Coturnix japonica: one gene and its partners. The protein of the gene in region 1 interacts with the protein of each later gene in a pairwise test. Links are inferred from orthologs where the notes say so. Each region holds a gene or a part of one and is shown in the gene's direction. Other genes may lie near its edges.

Region 1 (7,315 bases):
CCATGTAGGTGAGCATTTTTCTTTTTAAAACACCAGTATACTTCTTACTAGTGATATAAAAATGACCTAAGAACAAATTGAAGCCTAGATGAAAGGTATTGAAGTCTAGCAATAGAATAACAGTGCACTGTGTGCTGTAAGGAGCACGCACACAAGTAGGAGTTTGTCCTCCGGGGCACGTACAGAACAATTACCTGGAGAGAGATATCCATTAGGATTTCAAATTCAAAATATAGAATGATTCTGGAGTGAATAAATACGTAAGGATGTGGGAAAAAGAGCAAATGACTGTTACTATCAGCATTATCCAAACTGTGGTACTGTTTGTAAAAACTATCAGTAAACACTTACCTAGATATTTTCTATTATCAGCATTTCTGCATCCAGTTAGAATTGCCAATCAGAACGTACTGAAACCATGCTGTGTTTTAAAGTCATTCTTGGCAATGCTTAAAATAACTGATCTCGGAAGAATCAGAGGAGCAATGAAAAGTAAATGCATTAAAATATATTGCTTGTTTCATGACAGGATCATTGATGCCATTTGTGCTCATATCAATGTTTCCTCCACAATGGCTTTCATCCTTGTCATTCTATGTTGTTTTGTAATGATGATTTCATTGCGATTCTTTTTCATGAAACAAATTCCAGTCCTCCATGTGGGTAAGAAAGAAATGGCGGAGGAACTGGGAGGTGGGGAAAGGAGAAGTACTTCTACATGTCACTTGAATCTTTCCATGCTCTGATCTCCTCAGGACCCTGACATGAATCAGACAGCGTTCACGTCTGCTCTATTTCTGTGTGGTATCTGAAAGGCCCCAGAAGCGGCTGCAGCAGCCAAGAGCAGCAGGAGCGCCGTGCCACTGCCCACAGCTCCCTTCTGCAGCTCCCGGGGCTGCCAAGTCATTGGCAGAGCAGTCTGGGCTTTAAGGATATTCAGCCTGAATGACGAATCGTTTCAGCTTCCATCTGTACGGGGGAACGTGGACATACAGGTTTTATAAAAACAGCCTTTCTCTTTTCAGAGATAGACACTGACATGAAATATCTGAGAATTATCATTGCCCTCCAAAGGAAAGAGAATAAATATTGTGGGATGCTCTGTCCACCGACGAGGTTTCATTTGATAGTTTCCAAATAATTTAGACATGTTCTGAAATGAATAGGAGATGAATCACTGGATAAATCCCTGGGATGGCACCTCTGTTGATTGCAGTGAATGGTCACTCAGCACAAGCAGTGACTGCTCGGGTCTCTTCCTCGTGCTTCCTTTGATGGATGGCAACACAAGGAGAATGGTGAATGTGTGCATCAGTCCAACCAGCAGCGTCTTCCAAGGAGAATAACAGCAACTGTGGAAAGGAAAAGGCTCCTGGGGCCATTGGGCCTGATCTGCTCAACTTTTACTTCAACAGTTACAGGAAATAAATGGTTTCCTTAGGGTAAAAAAGAAACCCAGGGCTCTGTGCAGCCTGGCAGCCCCGGTACGCGTGGTCCAGGCTGCCCCACCTGGGGAAGCTGGCTGTGCACTGATCTGGGCTAAAACCTGCCGGCAGATTGAATGAATGTCACAGCATGGCAGGGGGAGAGAGGGCAGCAGGAGGATCTGCCGATGGAAGGAGGCTTCTGGCTGCGCTCTGTGCTGGCACATGGAGCGAGAGGGACCGGCCTGAGGGGAAACGGGCATCTGTCCGTGGTGGCACACAGTGAGTGCCACAGGTTGGCCTTAACTCGAGTTACATCGGTAAATCTGTACAGCGAACCTAATTCCACACTGACACGTTTCGTACAATGTCGTGCATCGGTTTGTGCACAACAGCCTCGTGGCAGACCGGCCTGAGGAGCGTTGAAGGCAGGGATAACAAAATGGTGTCCAAAGGAGCGTTTGCTGTGAGCTTTGTGGCCATGCGATAGCAGTGAGCCGGGCAGGGCGGGATGGCGGGGTTCTGCATCCCGGTGTGCGGGCACACCGAGCTACCGCCCGGCCCGGCAGCACCGCTGCGTGACAGCGCGATTCTGTGCGGCTCCGTGCGAGTCAACGACGGCAAAAAGCAGAAGGGACCGGGACCGGCCCGTGTCGCAGCGCTGCGGGGAAGCCCGGCCCGACCCCGACGGGCGGAGGAACCGGGCGGCGGCGCCGCAGCGTGTCCCGGGAGGGCGGGGCGGCCGGAGCGGGCCCGGAGGCGGAGCGGCAGCGCGGAGCCCGGCCGGATGTGAGCGGAGCGGCCGCTTCCTGTTTCCCGCAGTTCTCTCCCCGCCCTGGGTGGTGGCCGCTGCCTCGTCCCCGCTCGCAGGCTCAGGGCGGAGGCGGCCGCGACACGCTGCGGAGCGACTGAGACGCGCTCCGCCGCCGGCTGCTTTATCGAGCGGCGCTCCACGCCCCGCCCCGCTCCGCAGCCGCGATGCAGGCCATCAAATGCGTGGTGGTGGGCGACGGGTGAGTGCGGACCCGCGGACCGACCCCTTCGGTCGGGCCCGAGCCCGAGCCGCGCTGGATCCCGAGGGCGGGGGCGGCGCGGGGACGAGCGGGGGGTTGGGGCTTGTGCGGGCGGGGGAGGGGAGCGAGAGCGGGACGGGCGGCGACCAGTGCCGGCAAATGGAGGCGACGGGAGGGGCGGGAGCAGCGCGGCCGGTGCGGGCCCGAACGCGGCCACAGCCCGAGTCCGAGCCCAGCCCGAGTCCGAGCCCAGCCCGAGTCCGAGCCCAGCCCGCTCCGCGCCGTGGCGGCGGGTGGTGCCGACCGAGGCGGCTGCGCGGGGCGGGGGTGCGGGCGGCCGGGCGGGGCCCAGCGGGGCTGCGGGATGTGAGCACTGGGAGCTGAGCACTGTGAGCTCTGTGAGCTGTGCAATGTGCGTTGTGAGCTGTGTGAGCTGAGCACTGTGAGCTCTGTGAGCTGTGCAATGTGCGGTGTGAGCTGTGTGAGCTGAGCACTGTGAGCTCTGTGCGCTGTGCGGGGCCGCGCCGGGGAGGAGGCAGCGCGTCACGGGGGGAATGGGCTGAAGGGCGGGGGGCGGATCGTACCGTGTGGAGCCACAAAGTACCGAACTCACATCGCTACATCCGCTTTTTGCTGCACAACTACGAACAATCTGTTCCGCTCCAATCGAACCATACGCGCCGTGTGAGCTGAGCGTTTTCCTGCTCGCACGGCTCCCGTCTGGGGAGGTTCCTGCCTGCAAGAGGCTGAGAAAGCAATCGAAACCCAACTCATTAACATCGTACTCAGCTGTAAATCACTGCTGTGCCTACAGCGCTCCGAATGGGATGTGCCTTATACATTAGTTAGAAACAAGTTGTTAGGATCAGGTTAGCACTAAGCTGACCTGTTGGATTCCAGCATAAGCACTGCAGCTGTGATGGGGATGTTGTGTTGCTGCTTCTCAGTACTCACCACCATGTGTTGCCATTGGCCCAGAGGCTCCTTTCTCTCTCGCTGGGGCAGCAGTGCAGGGCAGCTGAACAAGGCGTGGCTTGTGCACTTCCACGGGGCTTTTTTCCCCCTCGGTAGAAACAAAAATCCCAGTGTAGGCCGAGCATAATCGGTGTCACAGCAAACCCCTGCGGGTGACAGAGGCTGTAAGTGTGGCTGATGGCCTTGCTGCTGTCTCTGTAATTGAATGTGGTGGATTAACCTTCCAGTTTCCTGTGTGTGGCTTTGTATTTTTCAACAAGGCTTGGAGTCCCTGAGCTGGCAGCTGTTAGAAAGATAAACTGAGCTCACGTGGCACATGTGTTCGGCCTGCTCTTACTGTGCAGGGTTTTGAGCCGAACACGAGTGTACTGAGCACTTGATCATCTGACAGAGACTTGTCATAGCACTGTAACTGATGGATCCATCACTGTAATTGATGGATGGTGGGCAGTGTGACTGCAGGCAAACCTTTCAGTTGCGTTGACTTTAAAGGTGACTAAAATCCCTTTTTTTAATTGTCATTTTTAAAGTGAATTGATGTCTGTGGCAGTGCTGGAAATCAACGTGGTGCATCGAGTTTGGGTGGGGAGAAAGTTCTGCCTGTTTCCTCTGCTGGGTTGAGGAGCTCAGTACGGACGCTGTGTTACTCAATGACTCGCTCAGCAAAGCAGTTCTTCTTTGTCTCTTGCTTTGTAAACTACTCCTTTTCTCAATGCATTTCCTGCTGGAAATGAAAGTGTGTCATCCCACCCAAGTCTTACACGTACGTGTGAACAAAACACGGCATTCAGTGGGCTTTCCTTCCTCTGCAGTTAGAAGCACATACCTCCTAGGATCCCATCTAGAAGCCGCTGCTCAGTTTTGCTATCTGTTCATTGACTTCTGCTGGGATTTTTAAATATTTTATGGTGCTTCTCTGCTGTTGCTTCACGAGTGAAGACATTACAGGCGTTCTGGTAAATGCGGAATGTTTGGCTTAGATAAGGCTAAAGCTCTGGTACTTCAGGAAAACAATGCAGGTTAAAGATTTGCTCATATGACATAAAACTTAGGCGCTGATTTATGTGCCCTGTGGAGATCCACTGGGAACAAACCAGCTGTGGATGTACCTGTGCAGCCTTAACAGCTGGAAGCAAGCAGGCGGTTTCTGAGCTGTTTTTGTTCTTAGGGCTCTGACTGGTATCTTTTTAGAGCTCTAATTTGGCTACAAAACACAGCATGTTTGCTGGTTGTGCAATCTTGTTTTGCCCTTGTTTTCCTCTTCATTGTGAGGATTGTTAGAGGGAAAATAAACAGCAACTGTTGCTTGTGCTTGTGGAAGATGCAGAGCAGTAGGAACGTGTGCTGGGATAACAAGGGCAGGAGCTGCTGCTGACTGACACTTGTGGAGAGCACTGCTAGGAGTTATTTTTAGCAGCTTTTGTTTTCACTCTGAAAAAGCAGCTGTTCAGTGGTATGAAATCTCAAGTGATCTCGTGTAACGCTGGGGGAAGTTCTGTGCTTTGGAATGATGATTATTGGGTGACAGAGAAACGGTCAGCTTCCTGCTCTTCTGGAGCTGGTTTTCATTGTAAAACTATTGTAAGAAAAGAGTCTGTCTGGAATTGTGCTCGCCTTGAGGCCTTGCTGGCTAAAGCTGTGCTGCCTGATCTGATAACTTGTCAAGAGGAAGGAAGGGGGGTGATGGGCTCCTTACTGAGTGCAGGGTGAGGTTCCGAGCACCTCTGCTCTCCAGTGCCACCTATGGAGAGTGCAGCGACTCCAAGTGTAGGAACTTCTGCTATTGCACTTCTACACATTGGGTAGTACTGGAAATGCTGAGCGGTATATTGGGGAGATGGGTGTCACAGCGAGAAAAGCAGCTCACCTGGAAAAGTGGCATATATCTAAACCTCTGCTGTAGCAAAAACATGGCAATTCTGTCCAAGGACAGTGCTGGTGATGTCCCATCTGCTGCTTGATGTGAATGGAGACCTGAGCCATGCAGCACGCCTGGGGTGGAGCTGGTTCATGCAGCTGAGAGAGGAAGGATGTTGTCAGAGGCTTTCAGAAGGCTGCCACCTGTTTGCAGATATCAACATTTCTGGAATTAAACAGCAATTACTTCAGCTGGCCTCCGCCTCCATTCCTGTGGCTGCAAACAGCAACTAAATTCGTGCAGTTGGGTTTTAGTCGTGGGAGAGGAGGAGAGTGCAGCATCTGTGCAGCTCTGGTGCCTGCAGGATGGAGGAAATGCTGGCACACATTGTCTGATGGCGTTCAGAGCGAGTCACATACGTGTCTGCCAGCAGCAGGAACATGGGGAGCTCTGCAGAACCGCTTAGTGTAAGAAAGGGATGGCGTGCCTTGTTTCCAGGAACAACATATGTGGCTTTACAAAGACTGGTTCCTAGAAGGTGTCAGAAAGCAATTCACTGCAACTCATTAAAATGCTGAATTTCTGTTGGCCATGTTTTTAATTGCAGTCAAATGTTACCAGTTTCATTTGATGCAATGGTGGGTGGACAGAGCTGTGATTAAGCAGTTGCTCGAAATTTTGTTATGACTAAGTTTGGTTTGGAAGTATCTCAGAGTCTACGTCTTTATGTGCAAGGATTTATACTTCGCAAAACAAGTGCAGTTCTAAGTTCCTTATCACAGAAGTTGGTCAGCTTAGAGAAAAGCTGTAAGTACTCAGAGGTTGTGCTTCATTGCAAAGATAGGTATTGAAGTTCATTTTGAGGATTGGTAACTGTAATACCCGATTTGTGGGGCAGTGAGCCAGAAGGCAAGGGAAGCAGGAAGCCTGGAACGGAGCAGGCCTGAAACAGGGTTGTTGAACGTGTTTTTTCTTGTTCAAGTGGCTGCCTGATTGTGCTGCAGATACATGCTGCAGGCAGGCGCTTCTCAGCATGGAATGAAACCTGTCACCACCTCCCTGTGCTGTTCTATTAGCCAGAGCAGACTCACCGGTTTCAGAGCAGGGTGAGCAAAGAAACTTGAGCGCTGAGACAGGTTCCTGGGCCTCTGCTGAAAATGTGGAGTTCCATATGAATTTGTTATAAGCTTTTGTTGTCTGTAATGAACCCACTGGAAAGCGAAGCATCAGACCAGCCAGGTTCTGGAAGCACATGAGCACGTAGCTCTGAGCCTCAGGAAGTTTCCTAGGGAATGTGCTCCTTGCTGCTTCCAGTGTTTGAGGGTTTTCACGTTTGTCCTTGGTCGGTAGGACTGGCAGAGCCTGCTTTATAGCTCGCTGACAGCAGTCAGCAGCACACGGTGGCTGATGAAGCATCCCAAGGATGTGAGCAGCAGGTTGTCCTTGGGGGAATGTGGAGCTTTCCCTCCGCATAGTGGCTTGTTAGCAGTCAGCCCAGTGCCCCTGCAATGGGGACAGCACGGGATCTCCTCTGCTGGCAGCTGTTAAGCCAGCTTAGCTGCATGGCACGCAGCTCCCAGATTTCTCCCACAGAAGTTTTTGCGTGATAAATCTCTGTGCTGCTCTGTACATGAGTGTGTCAAGCGTGTTGCGACAGGAAAACATCTGCAGGTCGTAGTTTGCTCGAGCAGAGGAAAATTCTGGTGTTCAGTTCTGCCAGCTCGGTTCAGGAGGGTGTATGCTGGAAGAAAAAGAAGAAAATCAGATTGTTTCCTTAGAGCATGTGTGCAAAGCAGGGCAGGAAACTGCCACCGTGTGCTGTGATTAGTGGGACATTCTGCTCAGGAACAAAAGTGCAATTAATAGGCACGGAGGCTAAAAATCTGTGGCAATGCTGTGCACAGTGAAGCAACTCCTCTTTCATGGCTTGAATGTGTGTGGTGCTGTTGTCAGGGGTTGCCATGGCCCTCCTGGGTTAAGTGGCACTGAGCTGTTCCTGGGTTCAGCTATGGTAGAGGTACTTAACATCCCTCGAACTGTGAGTC
Region 2 (6,874 bases), on another chromosome or scaffold:
TTGTGCAGCTACCTACTGTCCGCTCTTTGTTTTCTCTTCCTGCAACTGTGACTGCACTCTGTACAATCTGTCAGCTGTGAGATTCTCCAGATGTGAGACTGTCCAGGTGTCTGATACTTTTGACCCAAGGTCTCTGAACTCTTCTTCTATTTTTTGCTGTTCTATTTTACTGTCCTGTACAGCTTGAAAATTTCTTTTTTTATTTCATTTTCTGGACACACTTCCCTCCATCCCTAACCCTCCCCCATCCACACACACACACTTCCTCTATATTTCTACCAGACCTTTTTCACCAGGTTTCTTACAGTGGTGCTCATCACAGGACGTCTATTTAAAGATCTGTTGGCATATGTTCTTTAATGGATTATACATTCCGGTATGATTTGGGAATGCAGAACCTCTGGCAAGGCTAAGTGAGCACTGAATGGGAAGAGCTGAGAAATAGGCTGAGATATTCTAGTTGCTCATTCTCCTCACTGGGTTGATTACTGTATGTGTGTGTGTTTGTTTCTATTACCATGAACATGCTTGTCCAGGAGCCTGTCTTTTCTAAGAGACTGTTTGAGGAAAATTGAAGGGTATTTGCAGTAAGTTGTGAACTTCCAGGTCATGGCATTTCTTCTGTTTTTCAGACTGAGAAGGATCCTGCAAATACCCTTCTGGAACCACTGTGGCCCGAGATACAGCATGAATTGAAAATAATTGAACCTGAAGAAGAACTCCTGCTCTTTCCAGCAGCCGTCCCCAAGACAGTCCCAGTTTCTGAATCCTCTTCTTCAGTACAAACAAATATTTTTTCCTCTGGTCCAGAGCAATGTACAACGCTGTCTGAGCAGAAATCTGCTGGCAGAACCCCACAGACCACAACTCAGGTGCCTTTATTTGATGCCACCAACACAGAACAACCAGACAGCCACCAAAACTACCAGTCTGATGTGGCTGCACAGCAGAGCTGTGCTTCAGCCCTCCCCAAATTGGGAACTCCCCTGACTAGTGTAGCTGCTCCAAAGAACCACCATTCAGTGGTGGAAGACAGCATGCGTGAATGTGTCACTTCTCCCTTGGAATTGAATTTTCATAGTCAACCAGAAGTTAATGAGCTTCCTCCAGGAGATGAATTTTCTCTTTCCAAAGGAGCACATTCAGAATCAGAGAAAGGAAAAGATAGCACTTGCCAGCTGCAGAAGGAAAGTGATGATCATACCAAAGTCCAGACTCGGAGCGAGATGCCTGAGATAGTGACTGCTGATAGAAGGGACACATTATCCTCCAAGGCACTGAATGGAGCTGGAATCCAGGAGCTGAAGGAGGGCAATGCTGTCAGTAGAACTCACGATGCTGGTGACCAGGATGATGAGGATAACTGGGTAGATAATGTACAGAGCTTAGAGCTTGTGGAGCCCTGGGAGGATCACCAATGGGTCACAAGTCCACTCCATTCCCCAACCTTTAAGGACATTCAGGAGAAGACAATACCAGAGTTTCAGCCACAAGATCAGAGATCAGAGGCAGGCCTTTCCCTTAGACCACGATTCAGTCGCAGCCTGTCTCTGGATAGTAAAGATACAGTGATGAGTTTGTGGACTATCCCATTCTCTTTCATTGATGCCCCTGAACAGCAGCAACCTTGCAGTGACATTCTGCCACTGGAAATGCCCAAAAAGTCCATCTCTCCAATTAGTCTAGGCAAAGCTAAGCAAGATGAGAATAATACGTGTCTTCCAGAAGAACCTCTGAAAACTGATGAGCTGAGGTATCCAATCAGCAGGGAGGAAACACCAGCTAAGCAAGAGCCCTCCAGAATCCTTCCAGAGCCAGAGGGGATAAAAATGGATGTAAGCAAAGAAAACCCTTGGAGGTCAAAGCTCGAGCAGTTCTTACCATACCAAAATGCCCCAAACAGTTCTTTACAGGCAAAGATCACAAAGGAAGAGTCATCCAGGTCTCAGGACATTGCTCTGGCAGAAGACACTGTTACAAAAGTGTGCTCTGCCACTGAGTCACTTCAGAGTAATAAAGATGAAGAAACACCTCGTAAAGTGAAAACTAGGCCGTCATCCCTCAACTTGGATTCACTCCTTCCAACTCCAGATTTCTTAACGTTTGAAAGCCTGGCCATGCCTTCTGCTGCTGGGAACTTCCTGTATGGACAGAAGGAAGTGAAAAGCAGTGATTCAGTCCCATCTCTGTCAACTACCTGCCCTGCTGGGGCTAAAGGTGTTTCCTGGCGCTCTCCTTTCAGTGCCCACGTAGATCTAGATTTAGATTACCTGGCAGTGGCCCATGCCACCACTGGCCGTCGTAACTCTGCCCCTGTCAGTGTGTCAGCAGTCAGGACCTCCTTCATGATTAAGATGTGCCAGGCGAGAGCTGTGCCTGTGATACCACCCAAGATTCAGTACACCCAGATCCCCCAGCCCCTGCAGGCTCAAAATTCTGCTCCACAAGTGGAGAAGAAAGAAGCAGAAGCCAAGCAGGCTGGCAGGCAGACTCAACGAGTGGCATGGGGCCACCTGGAGCCCCCCAAGAGCCCAGTGACAGAGAAGAAAGCCAAAGCGGAGAAAGAAAACAGTGACCCAGCTCAAAAGGACTCAACATGCCCCTGGAACAACAGCATTGGCTCTCCACTGGAGTCATCTCAGTCCAGCCATAACCCTAGCCTGGATGCTCCTGTTCTGCGCCGAAAGCGCACTTCCGAGGGAGAGACAGGTGGAGATAACCCCCAGTCTTCAAAGATGGAGAGGCCATCAGGGTTCTCCAAGCCTTCCTATAGATCTAGGCCTGGGAGGCCCCAGAGTCTGATTCTCTTCAGTCCCCCTTTCCCCATTATGGACCACCCCTCCTCTTCAGCAGACTCCAGGGTGTTGTTATCACCCATCAGAAGCCCTACTCAGACCTCCTCTTCGAGTCCCATTTGTGGTGATCTGTCTGAAACTTCGCGGACAACACCTGAGGGAGTGATGCTGCGGAACAAAATGACCATCCCCAAGAATGGCCAGAGACTGGAGACTTCTACCAGCTGCTTTTACCAGCCACAGAGGCGCTCTGTGATTCTGGATGGACGAAGTGGGAGGCAGATTGAATAGTAACTGCTTCCCTTGCTCTCTTTCCATGGTAGATGGGATGGGAGTGTCTACACCAAGACCAACTCTGTTTCCATTTTGCTGTTGTTATTGCTATGTTGTGCAAGAAGAACCCAATCTTTACCATTTTCTGCAAAGTATCTTGCTATGGAGGGTCAGTCTTTTTGTCTTGCTTTTCCTACCCTTTCTTATCCCTTTCTAGTCCCTCACTGTCTGCTTTTTATTTTTTGTAAGCAATTCCCAAGGAATATTCTCATTGTCTAACAAGCCCTGTGGAAGCCTTATCCTCTCTATAGAAAACAAAGGAAAAATAAATATTGGGATAACTACAAAATGGGGCTGGGGAGGAACACTGTTCTAAAGCACAGCAGCTCCGAATGCAGATAAGGTGAGGAGGTAAGTTCAAATGTTTGGAACCTCTTTCTGTCTTTTCCTCACAGTCAGCGAATGGCTGTGTCTATCTGTCTCTGCCGTATTCTTTGGACAATGTAAGTCAATATTGTAGGAAACAGAATAGCTGAAGCAGAAGGTGAAGCTGGCATGAGCAAGACACGAAAGGTGTAAGACACCCAAGGATGTTCCAGTAGCAAACATGCAACCCAAAGGTGCTGCCTCCAACGCTTCTGTTTCATCATAAATGTGCTCTTTCTAGCATGCGCAAGGTGTGGAATGAAAGCTGAACAGGAAACACTTAGTTGTTCTTTGAATTTTCCAAGCCATGGTTATGAGGTTTGTTGAACTCAGCCACACCTTCCTTTGATAGGCTGAGGAGTGAGTGTTCAGTGGTAGACTTCTCAGACTGGTATCAATGGAAGTGAAAATATGGCCATAATGAAAGCCAGTATCAACTATTTTTGTCATTGCTTAAAGCCAGAGGGCAGCTCGGCAAATATAGCCAGTTATGCTCCACACAGCAGAGGAAAGCATGAGGATCTTCTGAACTGCATATCCTTGTGCTATTGCGCTCTTGTGTCTTGACTGACATAATCCTTGGCCCTTGGTCTTTCATTGCCACTGTGTGGCATGTCTCCAGGTGCTTCCTCCTCCTTCAGACTCCCCATCCTTACCATTTTACACTGTTTCTGTGAGAGCATGGCTGGTTTTCACCTCCCTGCTCCTTAGTGCTTTCAAATTGATTGAGGGTATGGTAAAGAGGATGATCTGTGGGACTGCAGAACAGATCACGAACAATATTCTGAGAGGTGGATTTGAAGTGAATTAAGCTCTCTCCTGAAGGGCCGTTATCATTACAGGCAAATACATGTTCATATAAGCAATAGCTGCCATGGGAATAGAATTAAAGCTTCCTTTATAAAGCCTCTAAGTTAACTGCAGGCTCATTTGTTGCCTGGTACGTGATAATGGGCAATTGCAAAGCCGGGTACAGTCTGTACTGTTTCTGCAATTTAAATGCCACTAGTGGCTACAGAGGAGATGGGAGCACAGGTATTGCTGCCAGCACCGAGATTGTCCTTGTAATGGTACTTACAGGGACCATCATTCATGGAAATGTCTGAGTTTGTAGATCCTCCATTGTGTATTATGGGCTATAGTTTGAATGGTATCTGAGCATCTGGTAGGAAATACTATTAGCCACCACAATGAGTGTCAGTCAAAATTTCCCAGTGGATGTATGTTTAGGGCTTTTTTTTCCCCCCTAAAATACTGGCATTCAAAAATTGTTAGCAAAGTCAGCCCATGAGATCTTGGTCTGTCCTGAATGTGTCACTTAATTAGTGTCATTGTGGCTGAAGGGCCCAAAGTCTGTATCGGGCTTTGTCCACACACTTTGATTGCTAAAGGAGAAAGATGCCAGGGTACTGTTGAGAAGCTTTGGCATACAGGTGCAGGGAATAAATCTTCATCAGGATTTTATCTTGCCAGATGCAAAGGGAACGTGAAAAAACAAGAGGGCTTTTCCCTGTCACAAGCTGCTGTATTTGATCCTCCCCATTGCATTCCTCACTCACATATTATGCAATATGAAAAGAAACAGAGGAGAGAGCTGAGTCTGTGCAGTCAGTTTTGTTGAGGAAGAATATTAATTCAGAAAAGGACCTAGAGTTCTTCTTTGGGTCCATGTTGTCTCACAGATGCCAGCCCATGCTTTACCTGGGCAGGCTGTGGATGTCAGATCCAGCATATGCAGCTTCATAATGATCATATTATCTTCCTCCCACACCATAAAATGCTCATGCTGCCTGCCATTAAAACCAGGGGACTGCCAATCCTCCATGCTCCTCATAGTACCGCTCTGTGCTGCCTTTACATGCACCCAAGTGCTTTTCCTGTTGCCTTATGGGAAAACTTTTAACCACAATGGCTGGTTAAAGGTGAATGAGTTGGGAAGGTGTGATACGATGTATTGTGGTAAGGTTTTCCAGAAAGTAAAAGTAACGGAAATGGTGCCCAGATTTTTTGGCATCAACAAAATAGTTTACTTTGGGAAGGGATTTATATTCTCTCAGTTCCTAGAAGTCTTGACTGCCAAGGCATCTGGAATGGAGCCAGCCAAACTCATAAAATAATGTGTCGAAAGAAAAAGAAAATGTGATGAAACCTTGGCACCTTAAAACCATTCTTTCTTTTCCTTCTTGATCTCATATAAGCTGATCTATGGACAAGAAGCGAGGTCTGGCAATTTGTATATAGTACGCTCTTAACAGTGTTCCAGTAAGAAATAGTTTTGCCATAACTGGGGAAGTTTCTGCAAGAGAAAATTACTGGAAAATTATATGTAATATTAAAGATCAGCCTCAAATGAAATCTGTATCCAGACTGTACTTTTAAAAGGTGTTTCAGAATTTGAGCTCAGATTCAGGTCCTGGGTTTTAATTAAGCATGGATTCTGTAATGAGATTTTTGTTGTGTAGCTATTTACAGTTTACTCTAACAATTTCAGCTCCCACCCTCAGCTGATAGATCAGCTTTCCAAGATCCTAGCCAAGGGAGTGTAATGCAGGCACATCACAATAGCTTTATGGTTATAAGTGGGCTTGTATCAAGAGCTGAGATTATGCAGACTTTTGGAGCTGGGTGCACTTGATTTGCTGCACAGGTGCCACCAACCACAGCTGTAGACTCAACTTCTGCAGTTTCCAACACTTGAGAGTGGGTCCATATTGATACTGCATCTGTAGTGAGCTTCAAGAACCAGATAGTTGATAGTTGGACGGAGCCAAAAGCCAGAAGCCATTGACCAATGAGTAATACTGACTGTGGTTGGATCTTCCCATGAGCCCACTTTTCTGAGCCATTCTTGAGATCATCCCCAGGGTCAGACCTGACGTCATCTTCACTTTAGGGTCACTACATTCTCCTCTGCGACCCTGCAGTATCAGATGGAACCTGAGACTGGAAGCTCTTCTGAAGCTCAGGGTTTTGCAGTTGTACGTTGTGGGTACCAAATTCCTGTTCTCCATGGTGACTCTTTAAACACAAGGTTTTAAGGAAAGATTGTATTATTATTTTTTAAAATTGTTCCTTGGTTTTGTTTGCTTGATTTCTTTTGTGAAGCATTGAGAGGGATAGAACTGTGTAATGGGATATGGGCCTGGCCCTACATTTGAAGTTTTATATGAGAGCTAAGTTGGTTGCTCTCAGCATTGTGGAAGGGACCTTCCTAGGAAGACGGTCACATCATCTGCAGATTTGCAAGGATTATTTCAGAGCCCAGGAACATTTCATTTCCTGTGAAGAGTTTGAAGACCTCTCACTAAGTCTGCAGATGGACTGGTCTGAATCGTGGTGTGGTACCACAAGCTTTTGTGGACTTCTACTAGCAGGAGATG
Region 3 (7,315 bases), on another chromosome or scaffold:
TAGCTCTAAATATCAGCAAAGCATCACCTATATATGCTTAGGAATATTTCAGAATATGTTTCAAGTCTTTTCTGTGTTAACTTTGGTCCTTCTACAGATCTCATAGTAAGTCTTCTGTGATCTCAAAGCGCATTTCCTATATGTTCCTTACGGAGTCTTGAACCCCTGCAGGCATCCAACCACAGTCTCAGTTTGGTATCATACAGCTCTTTTGGTTGCCTTTTCTCTGGCTGTGGGGCACTTGTGATATATAAGTGATGCCTTTTTACTGAAGACATTAACTAAAATATTTCTTCTGGGTGTTCTGTTGCATGTTCTGGAACAGTACAGCCCATGTAGATTCCCCTCCCTTCAAGGGTTTTGAGTGAGTATTTTTCACTACCCCCTTTGAACAGAGTGCTCTTCTTTCAAGTTCTGCCACAGCCTTTCTTCACCTTTAAAGGAACAGGTGTTTCATTATGATTTTTCAAATTCAGCTTTCAGTTCAAGTATGTGGTTAGTCAAGGAAAGAAGATTGATGGTTTCTGTGCTAACATGAGCGTGCTTGCTTCGGCCTTTGGTCATGAAAAGGAATTGACTGCTGGAAGATACCTGCTAGTTTCCGCTGTATGCACAGCTCTTTTAACTATATAAGCAAAAAGGACTTCACAGTGCTTCACTGCCTATGGAGTTCATCCATGGAACCAGCAGATCTGATCATACAGACCGAGTGCCAGTGAAATACTGAACTTGCTTTGCCTATTGACCTGCTAATATTTGGCATTTTTAATTGTTCAAAGGAGCAGTTTTTTTCTAACAATGGGCAAACGTAGAACATGAGATACTAAAATAGCTTCCGAGGCACTATTTTAGGCTGCCAGCCATAAGATGTAGTCATTAATAAAAAGACAGTCTCTGCCTCTCTTGAGAAAATGGCAGGGAATTATTCATTGACACAGCTCTGCTTTTTTCCCCACCTATTTTCTAATAAAAAGTATTTCTAAACATCTAGTGTTCTCCTTAGTACATTTAAGAGGGTCAGGCAGAGCATAGAGCTTATCATCTTTTCTCGACTTTGTCCTTAAAACAGTAAGAATGAAGTAAACGCAGGGTGTGTAAGTAAGAATGTGCCCTCATCTGTGTAAGTAAGCTTCAGACCACAATGAGCTTTGTGAAGTCAGAAGTCATCCAAATGTGTTTCACATGGCAGTAAACTGGTATACTAAGCTCTATGCACAATCACTCGTTTGTCTTTATCCAAAAATGGGAGAAGATTCATTCTGTGCTCGTTAGCTGATGGGCCCATTGTGTGTGAACTTGTGTTGGCAGCAGCCTTGATAATGCTCATTCTTCAGAGCCGAGAGCCTCTGGCGACTGTTGTTTCAAGTGGAGATCCTTACAGGCAATCATCTCAAATTACTAAGGATGTTTCTGAAGTAACCTTCCTCTCTTCTTTTGCCAGAAGTAACACAGCCTTTGTACAGCAAAAAACCCCAAGACATTAGCTGTGATGTTAAGTTAAATACACCAGCAAGTACTTGCTGTTAAACTGCTTCGTCTGGAAGGGAGGAAGTAAATTGGAAGTCGTGTGGTTATGTAATACGCCGCGGAGACAATATCTCTGTGCTCCAACACTAATCAGAGTGTTTACAACCCTCCCCTTTGTATTTCCTACTGAATAGCGCAAATTCCTGTGGGGGACCTCTTACATTACCACAGAAGGTTGCACAAAGAGCCCATTTGACAGGGACTAAGAAGCATTGAATCTCAAGTGAATAAATGAAGCAGGTGGCACGCTGCCACTGTATTAATGTGTCCAAAAGCTCAGGGATTATATCCGAGGCTGTGGGAACGAATCGGGCTGCTTCTGACTGAAACAAATGCCCCCGTTGGTTAGGAATCCTGAAAAGGATTCAAGATACGCAGGTGCTTAACGTAACAGAAAAGACGAGGGATACAACATTCTTTTGACTATCTGTGTAAACAGGATGCTTGTGGAGATGGAGATGTGTCTCTTGGCACAGGTCTCCTCACGCTGCATCCAGCATTTCTCCGTTTTCTTACCCTTCACAGAACGGCAATCCGGAGCCGGTGACAATTCCAGTTCAAAGCGGTTATAGGAGGATGAAGCTGAGCAGATGGCTGCTGCCTTCCGAGCTGTCAATGTCAAACTCAGCAGCTATAGGGAACTATAACTATAGGGAAGGCAGGCTGGATGTAAACATCCATACAGCTGCACCAGCTGTTGTATTCATATGCCGTGTTCCTCGCTGGTTGTGTCACACATTCTAAGGCCTGTAGCTCACCGAGCCTTCAGTCAGACACCGCTAATACTTACGTTTCCATGTCAACCTGCTCAATTGGGGTTGCGGCCCTCGCCTGCCCCGGGGGGTTTCAGTGAACATGACCCAACTTTATGAGTTTACCCCAGCCGAGAAGCCGCTGGAACACCATGGGTACACTACCTCACACAGCACCAGCCGCCGCCCCCAGCACAGCCGTTAGGGGCGTTACAAACCAGACGAGGCACAGAATAACACAGAATCACAGAATGACCCGGGTTGGAAGGGACCTCAGGGATCATGTAGTTCCAACCCCCTGCCTGGCAGGGCCACCAAACATACACATTTACTAGATCAGGTTGCCCAGGGCCCCGTCCAACTTGGTCTTGAACACCTCCAAGGACGGGGCATCCACAACCTCCCTGGGCAGCCTGTTCCAGGGCCTAACCACTCTCCTAGTGAAGAACTTCCCCCTAACATCCAACCTAAATCTTCTCTGTTTTAACTTAAAACCATTTCCCCGTGTCCTGCTATTGTCAGCCCTTTTGAAGAGTTTACTCCCCTCCTGGGAATAAGTTCCCTTCAGGTATTGAAAGGCTGCAATGAGGTCACCCCGCAGCCTTCTCTAGGCTGAACAAGCCCAACTCCCTCAGCCTGTCCTCATAGGGGAGGTGCTCCAGCCCCCTGATCATCTTCGTGGCCCTCCTCTGGACCCTTTCCAAAATCTCCATGTCTTTCTTGTACTGAGGGCTCCACACCTGGACACAGTACTCCAGATGGGGCCTCACAAAAGCAGAGTAGAGAGGGACAATCACCTCCCTATCCCTGCTGACCACCCCTCTCCTGATGGAGCCCAGGATCCTATTTGCTTTCCGGAGCCAACAACTACCGCACCAGCCACCTCCCCCTGAGGTACTGCCGCTCCCCTTTCCCCGCCGCTGGGAGTTGTAGTCCGTCGGCAGGAAGCCGGCCCATCCCACTTCCGGTAGGAGTCCCCTAGAAAACTACACTACCCATCGTGCTTTGCGCGCGGGAGGCTTCTTCCCCTTCCCGCCTCTCTCTCGCGTCACCGCGCATGCGCAGAGTGCCTCCCTCCCTCACCCCGAGCGGAGGTGCGAGCGAGGGCGGCAGCGCGTGCGCGGTGCGTAGTGCGCGGCTGTTCCTCAGCCGTCCTTGCGGGCCGGGCGGCGGAGGCGGCGGGATGGGGAGCGAGGCGGAGCCGCGTGTGTGAGCCCGAGGCGGAGCCGCTGCGCCGGCGAGCGGGACCACGACGGTTAGTGCGAGCGGCTCCGCTCACCATCCCTTCATCGCCTGTGTGTGTGAAGGGCGAGGGAGCCGCTTCCGGGGCTGGCACGGGGGAGGGGGGAGGGATGAGGGATGAGGGGCGGGGGAGGGGCTGACCCGGGGCCTAACCCCTCGCTTAGCCCGGCGGCCGGCTGCTTGTTTCAGGGCCCTCCCGCTCACCTTGCCCGGCCCGTTGGCTGAGGGCACAGTGTGGGGTGGCCGGCCGTCTGCCTGCCTTCACCTGGAGGTACCGTCTGAGCAGCCCTTACCGCTGTCGGTGTTTGTCCGTGTGTTTGGCGAGTTGTCTGCCTGCAGTTTATGAGGACAGGCTGAGGGAGTTGGGTTTGTTCAGCCTGGAGAAGAGAAGGCTGCGGAGTGACCTCATTGCAGCCTTTCAATACCTGAAGGGAACTTACTCCCAGGAGGGGAGTAAACTCTTCAAAAGGGCTGACAGTAGCAGGACAAGGGGAAATGGATTTAAGTTGAAAGAGGGAAGATTTAGGTTGGATGTTAGGGGGAAGTTCTTCACTAGGAGAGTGGTTAGGCCCTGGAACAGGCTGCCCAAGGGGAGGTTGTGGATGCCCCGTCCTTTGGAGGTGTTCAAAGACCAGGTTGGAGGGGCCCTGGCACCTGATCTTAGTAAATGTGTATGTTTGGTGGCCCTGCCAGGCAGGGGGGTTTGGAACTACATGATCCTTGAGGTCCCTTCCAACCCGGGTCATTCTGTGATTCTGTGATTCAGTTTGTTGTGTGTTAGCTGCTCAGCATGTTGTGGGCTGCTTCGGGGTGTGTGTTGAAAACGTGTCTCTGCAGGCAGAGAGTATCAGCGTGAGGTGCGGGAGGAATAGAGCTGAGCTGACTGAAGGTGCTTGTGTTTGTTAGAGTACGAGCACAGCTATCTAATGAAAGCATCCCTTCGGGACAGTACCGTGCTCATCCCCCATCCTCAATTCACGGAATATCGTGGCCATCCTTAATGAAAAATAATAAAAAATAATAAGGTAGGGCCATTTTCTTGGTTGCGTAAAGCGAGTTTGTGTAAATGTCCTGCTTCCATTGCAGCAAGGTAGCAGCAATTGTGTTCTTATACCCACTAATCGTCTGGAAAGCCAGGTTGGAACTGGATGAGCATTAAGGTCCCTTCCAACCCAAACTGCTCTGCGGTGATCTGAACTGCAAACTTAAGCTATAATACAACCCTTTGGGCATAATAGCATTGAGGTTCTGTTGGATATGACCCAGGATTGTAATGGATGTGACTTCATTAGCAAGCTTAAACAACAGAAATAGAAAGATGTCCCTTTTAGTTTGTTTTTTATGTCATTTGAAATGTCATTGACAGGGTGTGCTGTTTGTTCGGTTCATATCAGTCCTGTACAGTCAGTGTGACATGTACTCTATAGGGGCTTTTCTCTACTGAGAAGAAAAAGAGAAGAATAGGCTGCTTATAAGGGATAAGCAGGGAACTTTGGGTTATCTGTTCCAGGGCTCTTATTTCTAACTGAGAAAATCAAGTTGATTTTTCAGTCTTCCCATGCATGCAATAGAAATAGCTGCCTCGAAGTTGGAATACAGTGCAATTCTGGCATTGTTCTGTCTTAGTGAAGGTCTGCTGGGGGAGTGGAGGTGTTATCTTCCTTAGAAAGTAACTTTTAGGCCCTTCCCTGATATGTTCTGGCCATGTTTTCTACCTGCAAGACTTTGAATGCTTTTGGACAGTCAGAGTTAGATGAAGAAATGCTGTTGGTTAGTAATAAATACCTGCAAATGCAGATGTTGTTTCCTTCTGCAAAGCTTGGTGTCAGGTAGCTGGCCTCAAAATGTCAAAATAAAGTATAGTATGACACTTATCTTCATTAATTGTATGCCTGGAGTAACGTACTAAGCCTTAATCTGAACTAACATGTCTGATTATTTTGAATCAGTGAGTGACTCACCACCCTTAAAAATAGGCACAGTTTGCCATATCACAGAATCACAGAATGAACCCGAGTTGGAAGGGACCTCAAGATCATGTAGTTCCAAACCCCCTGCCTGGCAGAGGCCACCAACATAACAATTTACTAGATCAGGTTGCCCAGGGCCCCATCCAACCTGGTCTTGAACACCTCCAGGACGGGGATCCACAACCTCCCTGGGCAGCCTGTTCCAGGGCCTACCACTCTCCGGATTTAAGAACTTCCCCTAACATCCAACCTAAATCTTCCCTCTTTCAACTTGGATCCATTTCCATATGCCAGCCTTATATTTTCACCTAAGAATCTATCAGCTTGCTCTTCTGTTCACCAGGGCCTTGTGGACGCACCTCAACAAAGAGACAACAAAGTGAGGAGGCAGGTCGATCTGTAGCAAAGGGAAGGCTGTTTGCCCATCCCAACCTATCACGGAATCATTAAGATGGAAAAGACCTCTGAGATCATCTAGTCAACCAACCGACCCATCCCTCCGTGCCACCAAACCAACGTCCTCAGTTGCCACTTCCACACAGTTCTTGAGAATCTTGGGGGATGTGATTTCCACCCAGCTCCCTGGGCAGCCTGTGCCACTGCCCAAAGAACTTAAAGGGCTTGAAATCCTGCCAAGCCCGCAAACTGCTCACAGTTTAGAGCCATAGACGGTGGTTCTATCTCACCTTTATGTACTTAGAATGACGCAATATACAAAGTTGGGTGAAGCTGTGAGGTGCTTCTGCAGAAAAAGAAATCACAGAATCACAGAATTGTAGGGGTTGGAGGGACCTCTTAGAGATCATCGCGTCCAACCCCCTGCCAAACAGCTCCCTACACCACGTCACACAGGTAGGCGTCCAGGCGTGAACCCGTGATATTGGCAGCAGCAAGGAGTCTCCCTTCTGAGGCTCAGTAGCATCAGGGATCCTGGGCTCCCCCCTTGCCAGTGCTTTTCAGGCTGTGTTGTAAGGGCAGCGGCTGCTCATGGGGTGTCACCTGAGTAAGGGTGGTGACCCACTGATTCCATTCATTTGGAACAGGTCAAAAAGAAAACAGGGCTTGTTCCATTTTGTTATGAGAAGGTAACATACCAGGAGCAATCACGTACTGTTTGACCAAACTGAGGGATCTGAATGCAGCTTATTACTTGTGAATTAAAAAAAAAAGAAAGAAAAAAACAAAAAGGCTGCTTGTTTCTCCTTATCTAATCTGTGAATTCCAAGCATGTATGAGAGACTGAGATCTGCCAGTTCAAAAACATGAGATCACAATGTTCAGTGAATGGCAGAGCAGCCAGCATTTCCTGTGCTGAGTAAATAAATGTATTTAAGCAGAGCATACAGTTTGATATTAGAAGTGATGCTGTTCTTCTAAGGCAACATAGAGCACTTCTCATATTCAGTGGAGGCTTGCTTTTTTTCTTTTCATTGATGGGACGGACTGAAAGCGTAAGACTCTGGGGAACAAACAGCTGATGAAGAGAGTTAGCCATGAACTTCCTGGATTATTTCAGCCTAATGGTTTAACCTTTTCTTATTCTTCACACACTTTAATCCCAGTGCTCTGCGTGTTAAGCACTTGTAAGCTCACCTTAAATGATCTTTCCCAGGTCACGCTTCTGAAGTTTTGAACCTGAAACTTAGGATTGTAGTTCTCCAGAATCTATACAGCTTGTGTGATCGAGTTTTGGATATATATAACGTGCAACCATATGTCAGTGAAGTCAGTGATTGGTATGTGTCATTAAAGCAGTTACACAGACCTATTTCACATGTACTTTCCATGAGGCGGTTATTAGCACTTAATAGCAAGGATTTCACC
Region 4 (7,640 bases), on another chromosome or scaffold:
GACTAATCACGAGCCTGTCAGCTGGAAGAAAGCATAAAACTTGTGCCTGGCTGTCTGGTCACTCTTACTGCCTAAACAAACCCTCCTGACTAAGGCTGCTCATCTGCACATACTTTTGGGATGAAGAACATCATTAAACTTTAAAACAGCTGTTACTACTGAAAATAGTGTCTTAAGAAAAGGCAGTTATCTGTGAAAGTAGTGCCTGCCTTTTTAGGTAGATCCCTTTGATTTAGCATACATACAGTTAAAGTCAGTGGAAGAGGAGGTGAGAAATTCCACTGACTTCCCAACAAGACTTCAAAGGCAGTTTTTTCATTAGCAGCACTTCCAAACAGTTAGCACATCACCAGAGAGCCTCTCTGCCACTGCTGGTGCGAGTCCAGAGATGAATCCATGTCTTCTGCCAACCCGGAGCTGCAGCCAGGTAGGCCTTGGCTCAACTCAAGTCTAAAGCCAGTCAGCTTCCAGCCCAACTACCGTGAGCAGCTGAACCTGCACTGTGCATACAGTGGAATGACTACTCAATCGGCAGAATAACTGCATTCATCTGCAGGGTCTGGGGGCTGACCTGCTGGAGAGGAGCTCTGCAGAGGAGGACCTGGGGGTCCCAGTGGACATCATGTTGGCCATGAGGCAGCAGTGTGTCCTTGTGGCCAAGAAGAACAACAGCATCCTGGGGTGCATTAAAACAGATGTGACCATAGGTTGAGGAAGGAGATCCCTTCTACTCAGCCCTGGAGAGGCCACATCTGGAGTACTGTGTGCAGTCCTGACTCACTAGAAAAGTCTCACTTGAGTGCAGATCTCTGAGACTACTCATAAAGTTAGCTATGTGTTTCAGTGTCCTACTAAATTGGAAGCTCAGGTTGTCTTTGTTAACCCACCGCTTTCTCTCTCTAGTAATCAGTTGAAAGGTAATACTGATACACAATGTTAGCATTAAGTTAATTTTCCCAGCTTCGAGGATCACAGGATGCAGGGTCAGAGGTTAGGAGTTGCTGCTTGGGATATATCGGCTGTAAACAAGTGGAAAGTTGAAAATGTTGACACTGTCTTAAGTAAAGAAAGTATTTCTGCATTACTGCTCTAGTACTCGTGGAAAGGTCAAACATTCTTTGCTGAGCTCTAAACAGACAAATAAGCCATGCTGATTTATCACTTGTGCTTCTTTTTAAGGAGATGTTTTGACTTCATTAAGATACACTGACCTAGCTTGAGGTATATCAGCCTGTTTCTGGAACAAAATACCAGATGTCTTTTGCACACAAAGTACTTTACATGGTCAGGACATACGTAACCAACCTAAAAAGAAACATTTTCTCTCAATTCCATGGAGAATGTAAGGGGCGGCATTAAAAACCCACAGCTACTTTCATAGCAGCACTTGGAGTACTTTAGCCTGCAAATGTCACAAGTGCTTCTCTAAGGCACATTCTAATTTTAACCAAAAATGTGAAAACAATAAGAAGTTTTGCACATTAGCTGCAAAAACTGATTGTTTTAAAAGACGTCTGCAGGAAAAGCTACTTTGAGGTATTTCCCCTATTTCTTCTTTGGTCACTGTAGCCAAAATTTTATCGGAAATGGCAAAAATCAAAATGTTTCAAGGACCTCATGAACACAGACATTTCCTGAGGCATTTGTGACTACGTTCAAGTGGCCGTAAATCTCCAAGAACTGTCCTCACTACTAATCTTTGCTATTCAGATTTAGCGCTTTAAAAAGAATCACTGTTGCATAAGAATGGGCACAGAAATGTTTGTTCCCACTGTACACCAAACAAGTTTTTTGTGGGTAAGTCCCCCTGTTGGCAAACGCCACTCAGCAGCACACAAAAGCTGACATGGACGTTCATCCATCCCATAACCCAAAGTTTAGGATCCAAGGCTCACACTCTTCCTCACATCCCAGCAGAACGCTGAATAATGCTAATTCTGCTGCACTGCTTGGTAACAGCCCCACCTGCTAAGGTCAGCACCAGGACTCCTTCTCATTAAGGTGGTTTGCAGACCCTGAGAACCTCATTTCCGTAAGGGCTTGGGAGGGAGTCATTGTTATGCGCAGCTTGTCTCAGAGGTAAACTGGGGTCTGGGGATGGATTGAAAATAGGAGTGAAAACTGAATAATGACTTGGAAGAAGATAAAAGTGTTTCAGGAATTACAGCTGTCCATGGCAGCTGAGGCAACAGCTGAATTTCTCCCTACAGCCAAAGAACTTAGGCTGAAAACTCTGTAAGAGATCGAATGGACATTATTGTCTGTTTGATGGAGGTGAGTGAACGGAAATAAACTTTGCTATCCTGCTACTACAGACACTCACCTTCTAATTCAGCAGTGTTGCCATTTTATGTGCACTGCATTGCACACAACTGCGGTCAGCAAACATGAGATCTTTAGGATTCCTCCCCATCTAATGGGGAGATAGACAGAAGGACTTCTCTCCTTCTCCCGTAAATACAGGGAATGCAAAAAGAGCTGGAAGAACAGGAAATAAAAGTTCACTAAGAAAGGAGGATGAAATTAAAAATAAATAAATAAAAATGCTGAGGAGTTAATGAGGGTGTGTGGCCTGGGTGAAAACAGCTGCTCTGGAGAAGAGAATGGTTTCACCTGGGAGAATCCTCAGCTTGGGAGTTAATCACTTCCCATGTCAGACACATACAATTGCTCCACAGCAAAAGACAGATCAGCTCCAAAAAGTGATTGTTTAAGTGGTATTTCCAGCAGTTTACTTCAAGAAAGCGCTTTTCTGTACGAGAAGAAGCCAAGGTGAGAGACAAGGAGGATTTGAGAGCTTCTCGGTGTGCCTTTTGCATAAGGCAGCAGTAAGAAAGGCATCCCTTTGCTCTTTAGAAGCGAGTATGATCAATTCACACCCTTTTTTACACCCTCCGGACTTTGAGAGAGCGGAGGTCCAATCGCTCTCGTTTCATCCGTGTGTAAGTAGGATTTCAGTTAGAAATCACTCCAAACTGTCTCTGCTCCCCGACGGCGTGGGCAGGACTCACCCCGCCGCCACGGGGCAGGCCCGGCTGGAGGAGCGGGGCAGCAGCCAGAGCCTGCCGTCCTTACCGCCCCGCTGTGCGGCCGCGTCGAGGCGGTGGATGTCGCTGCTCCTCCCCTCCGCCGCGGGCAGGGCTGGCGGAGCACACCTGCCCCGGAGGAGGAGGAGGAGGAGCCGAAGGGACAAAGTTGACTCTGGAAAGTTTACGAGGGAGCGTGGGTGGGAAGAGAAACGGGGAGAGAGGGGAAGGGCGCTGCCCGGCTGCGGGACGCCAGCTCCGTCGGAGACCCGCGGCGCCCGGTGCGGTGAGCGGCGGCTGCCATGGCTCTGAGCAAAGGGCTGCGGCTGCTGTGGAAGCAGGAGCCGGGGCCGAGCGCGCTGCTGGAGGCTCGGGGCCGCCAGGACTGCCTGCTGCTGGAGGCCGGCACCATGGCGGCGCTCAGTAAGTCGGGGCGGGGGCAGCGAGCGGCGTTGCGGGGCACCCGTGGGTGCGTGGAAGCGGCCGGGAGGCGCGGGGATGGGCGGTCTGCAGGGACCCCGCTGAGACGCCGGGGTGCCAGGTTGCTCCCTTAACGCCAGCCCGGGCCCCGTCCCTCCTGCCTCCACCGTGCTCCGGCTGCTTGTAGCCTCCTCGAGGCCACCGGCACGGAGAGGGATGCGGAGTAGGGTCCCGCTGATGGATGGGACTCGGTGCACGAAGTTTCTCTCCGGCTGCATCGGTGCTGGTCGACAGATCAGACGTGCTGATTCTGATTACGCACGGAGAGCAACGGGAAGCTGGATTAGATCTTCCATGATGCGCTGTGGCAAGGCTTCCAGGTTATCAGTGTTTGGCTTTTTATGAGTGAAGAAGGCCTGCCAGGTCTACAGGAGACCGATGGTTTTCGTGAGAAGGACTGTGAAAGTGGAAACATTTTAACCTGTCCTGATAAAACTCTGTTACTGCCACAATGCGCCTTGTGTTGTGTTACTGGGATTTCATACTGTCTGATACTTTGAGATACTTCTGTTGCTTGTTGAATTTGTTGATAATAGTGGACGTGACTGTGCAGAAAGATTATTCTGTATGTTTTTGGTTGGTTTTCAGTGAGCTGTCAAAATAACAGGTCTGATAGGACAGACCAGCATTGTGCTCACCCTCCCTGACCTAAAACTGTATTGACAGTAAAATTGTCTTTTGACATCAATTAATTTTGATATGGCTTCTGTTATTCTGATCCAAACCCAGAGCAACTCCACTGTTTAAAGCCAATGAGCACAAGTAGAACTAAGAGACCAGTGTTCAACTAACAGCCCCAGGCCTATGTAGAAGCAGTCGTTGAGAAGGTTATTTACAATCTTGATAATCTAAGGAATCATCAACTTAAAATACTTTTTCTCTCACAATGTTGCTGTCTTCCACCTGAATATTTGTAGCTAGAAGTGTGGAAGTGATTGAAGAATTGATTTATTCTCTTCTAAAATGTGTGTTATTTTGCTTTAGAAGGGTGTTGGACTTGATGATCTCTTGAGGTCCCATCCAACCCCTGCAATTCTGCAGTTCCATGGTGGCTGCTGTAAAAGCTGGTTTCCCATGCCTTTGGAAAGTCACCTCTGGAGATAGCTGTGATCATTCATGCGTTGGCATCCAGCCCGCTTTGTGTTAATAGATTTGCCATTTTAATTCATTTAGTTTCTCTTCCTGCCTGGTTCTGTTCCTATGTTAGAGGAAAAGGTAGTTTATCCAGTTGAACCAGTTTTAGTTCCTTTCTTCTATTTATGAAGGGAAGGACCAGAAAAGGAGGGAAAACCAGGAGCAGGTATTGTGATGGTAAATTTATGTGAACTGTGAAGAGGAAACTCCATGGTTAAGATGTCAACAGAGACAAGGCCCTCAAGTTGTTACTGGCTGCAAAACATATCAGATAAACACAAACCTCAGGTTAGTAGGTTTGGGCTACTTCGATTGTCCATTTCTGACATGAAGATATAAAGAATTGCATGCACGTGGTGATGAGGAATAATTGTGATTATGTCTTTTGCAGACTTCCATGCTCTAAATACAAACAAATGTGTTAGTTGTACAAGCATTGTAAGTTGTTCGTGCAGTTTTACTGTAGCAGCCTTGATCTGATAGAAGGGTAGAAAGGAATAATTATGAGTGGACAGTGAAGGCTTGGAAACAGATTTTTATTCATTGTCTGTTATTTTGTTTCGTAATTACTGAATGTCTAGTTTGCTTTTGAGCAGGCACAGCATCTGCATTTCTACTGGAAGAGGTTAAGTCACTTCCTTTCCTGCTATCCAGTTTAAGTAGCAAAATGGACTGAGAATCATCCTAGAGGAAGAAATGTTATAAGAAAAATATGTGGAAAATGTATGAGCACAGTATCTGTAGAGGCCATGAAACTGCCAAGCTCAGAATCAACCCTTTCAGATATATAAACCAAAGCTGTGTTACTGTCTTATGGGAGACGAGATACTTTTTCCTCTCTTGATGTAAAGGTTATAATGACAATGTATTTCAAAATTCAGTTTTAATACTTAGAAGTGTTTCTGTGTTCAACTTCAGTAGTGGAAAAATATTATGAGGATCTTCAGCTGTCTGGGAAGCCATAAATGAGAAGCTGAATTGATAACATTCAGGCTGTAAGTGAAGCCTAACTTGAGAAACTTTTGTAAAGGTCAAGGAATCAAAAATCACAGTGGGGAACCTGGCTGCCCTACCCCAGCTCCTTTTTATGTACAGTGAAGCAATGTATGAGTCGCATAATTTTCTGGTCTAGCAGAAATTAAACAGTGCTTTCATAGTATTTTTTTCCCCTCCTTTTCTCATGATGTCATTGTAGGGTGGAGGGTAAAACTTTCTGTTTTGAGTTTAACAGCATGAAAGAATTTCTCCAGGAGTTCACTGAACTAGAACATCAGTAATTAGCTTCTGCCATGGAAGAGAGTTACAGGCTGGAAGGGTAAGGAAAAACTGTCACTGCTTCAGAAGCCTTTGCTTACATGAGAGGGAATATAGATAGAAGTGTTGTCGCTACTTTTAATGCGGTAGTTTTAACACTTTACAGGTGAAGTGAGTTGCATACTAAAGCCATAGAGCTGCAAACATGGTTTACTAACTTCATTATAGAAATGAAATGATGCCAGTAGGAATGTTCAGCTTCTGTGATTCATCACAGAAATGTAATTCTGCAAGGGCAGGGCCAAAGGATGCACAGACAGTTAAAAGTTGTGTTTTACTCATATGCCTCCTTATTTATGTAACTCCTCGCCTTACTGTATTTGTATTCCTAAATCTTACTTATTTTTTTAGAAGTAAAATACAGTGTTTCATAAAACTTTCTGCTGTTTAATGGTGTTCAAACTTCTCCCATCTGTGGACTCATACAAACCTTTTGTGGTTCAAAGAGTCTGACAGAAGCCTTTCTTATTTTGGCTGTGCTGTCAGTGTCTTTGTGTGACTGTATATAATATATAGCATTAACCACATAAAGATAATGATTAAGCTACAGGGAAGTGACTTAGGAACTTCTCCCTTATGTTCTTGGCTGCCTGCAGACCGCAGGAGTGGCTGGTACAAATCTGGTGGTCTTCTGAGTCCATTCCTTGGCTGTGAGTGAATATATCCATACCCACACTTACAAGTATGAAAACATAACCCCTTACTGGAAAAGAATGATTCCAATTATATAGAAAGCTGGTGGATGAACTTCTCCAGGCTGCTGCTTGGTCATGTTTTCAAGCTGAAAAAACACTTTTCTTTAGAAAGCTGGAGAATATATTGCTTAAAATTTTGAGTATCCAGATTCTGTTAGCTGGAACTCTGACCTTTTCCCAACCCTGTGTTGCATGACGTATAGTGTGTTAGAGGATACAGCCTGACTTGTGTAACATCTGTGTGGCTTGAACTGGATGTGAACGGGAAGTTTTTAGCAACAAAAGATTGTTGTATTGTCATTTACATTCATAATGTGCTTTAGGTTTGTCTGAGAAAAAACAGGAGTTGTAAGCATGTCATTTATCTTCACTCATATAACACCAGATGCTGGACATATTTTTATGTTAAGATTATACTAGATGTATTTTTTATCACTTTTTTTTTTTTTAAATAAGAAATTTGTTCAACTATATATTTGCTCTTTCTGGTAAAAATTTCACTCCTCTTTCACCAAAATACTAGAAGAAGCACAAATAAAGCCCCCATCACCATCAGTCCAACAGCTCTGCAAATATGTGCTTGCATGTTCTGAAGTATTTCTGTAGCTGCTAAGCAGCAGATATCTAAATACTTCCAGAGGAAGTATTAGAGGACAGCCAGAATTTGTAATCTGCCCCCCAACCTTCTTCTTGAAGAGCTCTTCCCGTGGATTTACCTGAAAGCTGAAGGTTCTACTGAGCCTGCCCATGATGTTGGGCCTTGGACTGAGGTGCCTTCCTGCAGTCACTGGGCTTTCTGGGCACCAAAGGGCTGTCAGCCATGGTGGTTCCTGCTGAAGTCTGGGGGTCACCACTTGAATAAAGGAAGTTCTGTGCATCTGGCCAGTTCCTGCTGGACATTACATCAAATGTACAGCTTTTGTAAGCAGGAAGTCACACTTGGAAAGTAGGTGTATGTCTTTGTGTGGCTCTGAAATATTTTATGCTTTGA

The links.
Region 2: the proteins of RAC1 (region 1) and ARHGAP31 interact in a two-hybrid assay, tested with the Homo sapiens proteins (2 studies listed by BioGRID and IntAct, with this or other methods). The link is inferred for Coturnix japonica from reciprocal best matches to the Homo sapiens genes RAC1 and ARHGAP31.
Region 3: the proteins of RAC1 (region 1) and RALBP1 interact in a two-hybrid assay, tested with the Homo sapiens proteins (2 studies listed by BioGRID, with this or other methods). The link is inferred for Coturnix japonica from reciprocal best matches to the Homo sapiens genes RAC1 and RALBP1.
Region 4: the proteins of RAC1 (region 1) and SYNJ2 interact in a two-hybrid assay, tested with the Homo sapiens proteins (2 studies listed by BioGRID and IntAct). The link is inferred for Coturnix japonica from reciprocal best matches to the Homo sapiens genes RAC1 and SYNJ2.

The regions. Positions count from the first base shown.
Region 1 is NC_029529.1:8,461,221-8,468,535, reverse strand, and holds the start of RAC1 (ras-related C3 botulinum toxin substrate 1), read left to right. Parts: upstream 1-2,217; 5' UTR 2,218-2,402; coding exon 2,403-2,437; intron 2,438-7,315. UniProt on the Homo sapiens protein: Plasma membrane-associated small GTPase which cycles between active GTP-bound and inactive GDP-bound states.
Region 2 is NC_029516.1:72,329,189-72,336,062, forward strand, and holds part of ARHGAP31 (rho GTPase-activating protein 31), read left to right. Parts: intron 1-632; coding exon 633-3,086; 3' UTR 3,087-6,874. UniProt on the Homo sapiens protein: Functions as a GTPase-activating protein (GAP) for RAC1 and CDC42. Required for cell spreading, polarized lamellipodia formation and cell migration.
Region 3 is NC_029517.1:88,813,237-88,820,551, reverse strand, and holds the start of RALBP1 (ralA-binding protein 1), read left to right. Parts: upstream 1-3,342; 5' UTR 3,343-3,534; intron 3,535-7,103; 5' UTR 7,104-7,227; intron 7,228-7,315. UniProt on the Homo sapiens protein: Multifunctional protein that functions as a downstream effector of RALA and RALB. As a GTPase-activating protein/GAP can inactivate CDC42 and RAC1 by stimulating their GTPase activity.
Region 4 is NC_029518.1:46,821,278-46,828,917, forward strand, and holds the start of SYNJ2 (synaptojanin-2), read left to right. Parts: upstream 1-3,072; 5' UTR 3,073-3,328; coding exon 3,329-3,449; intron 3,450-5,936; exon of another isoform or gene 5,937-5,955; intron 5,956-7,640. UniProt on the Homo sapiens protein: Inositol 5-phosphatase which may be involved in distinct membrane trafficking and signal transduction pathways. May mediate the inhibitory effect of Rac1 on endocytosis.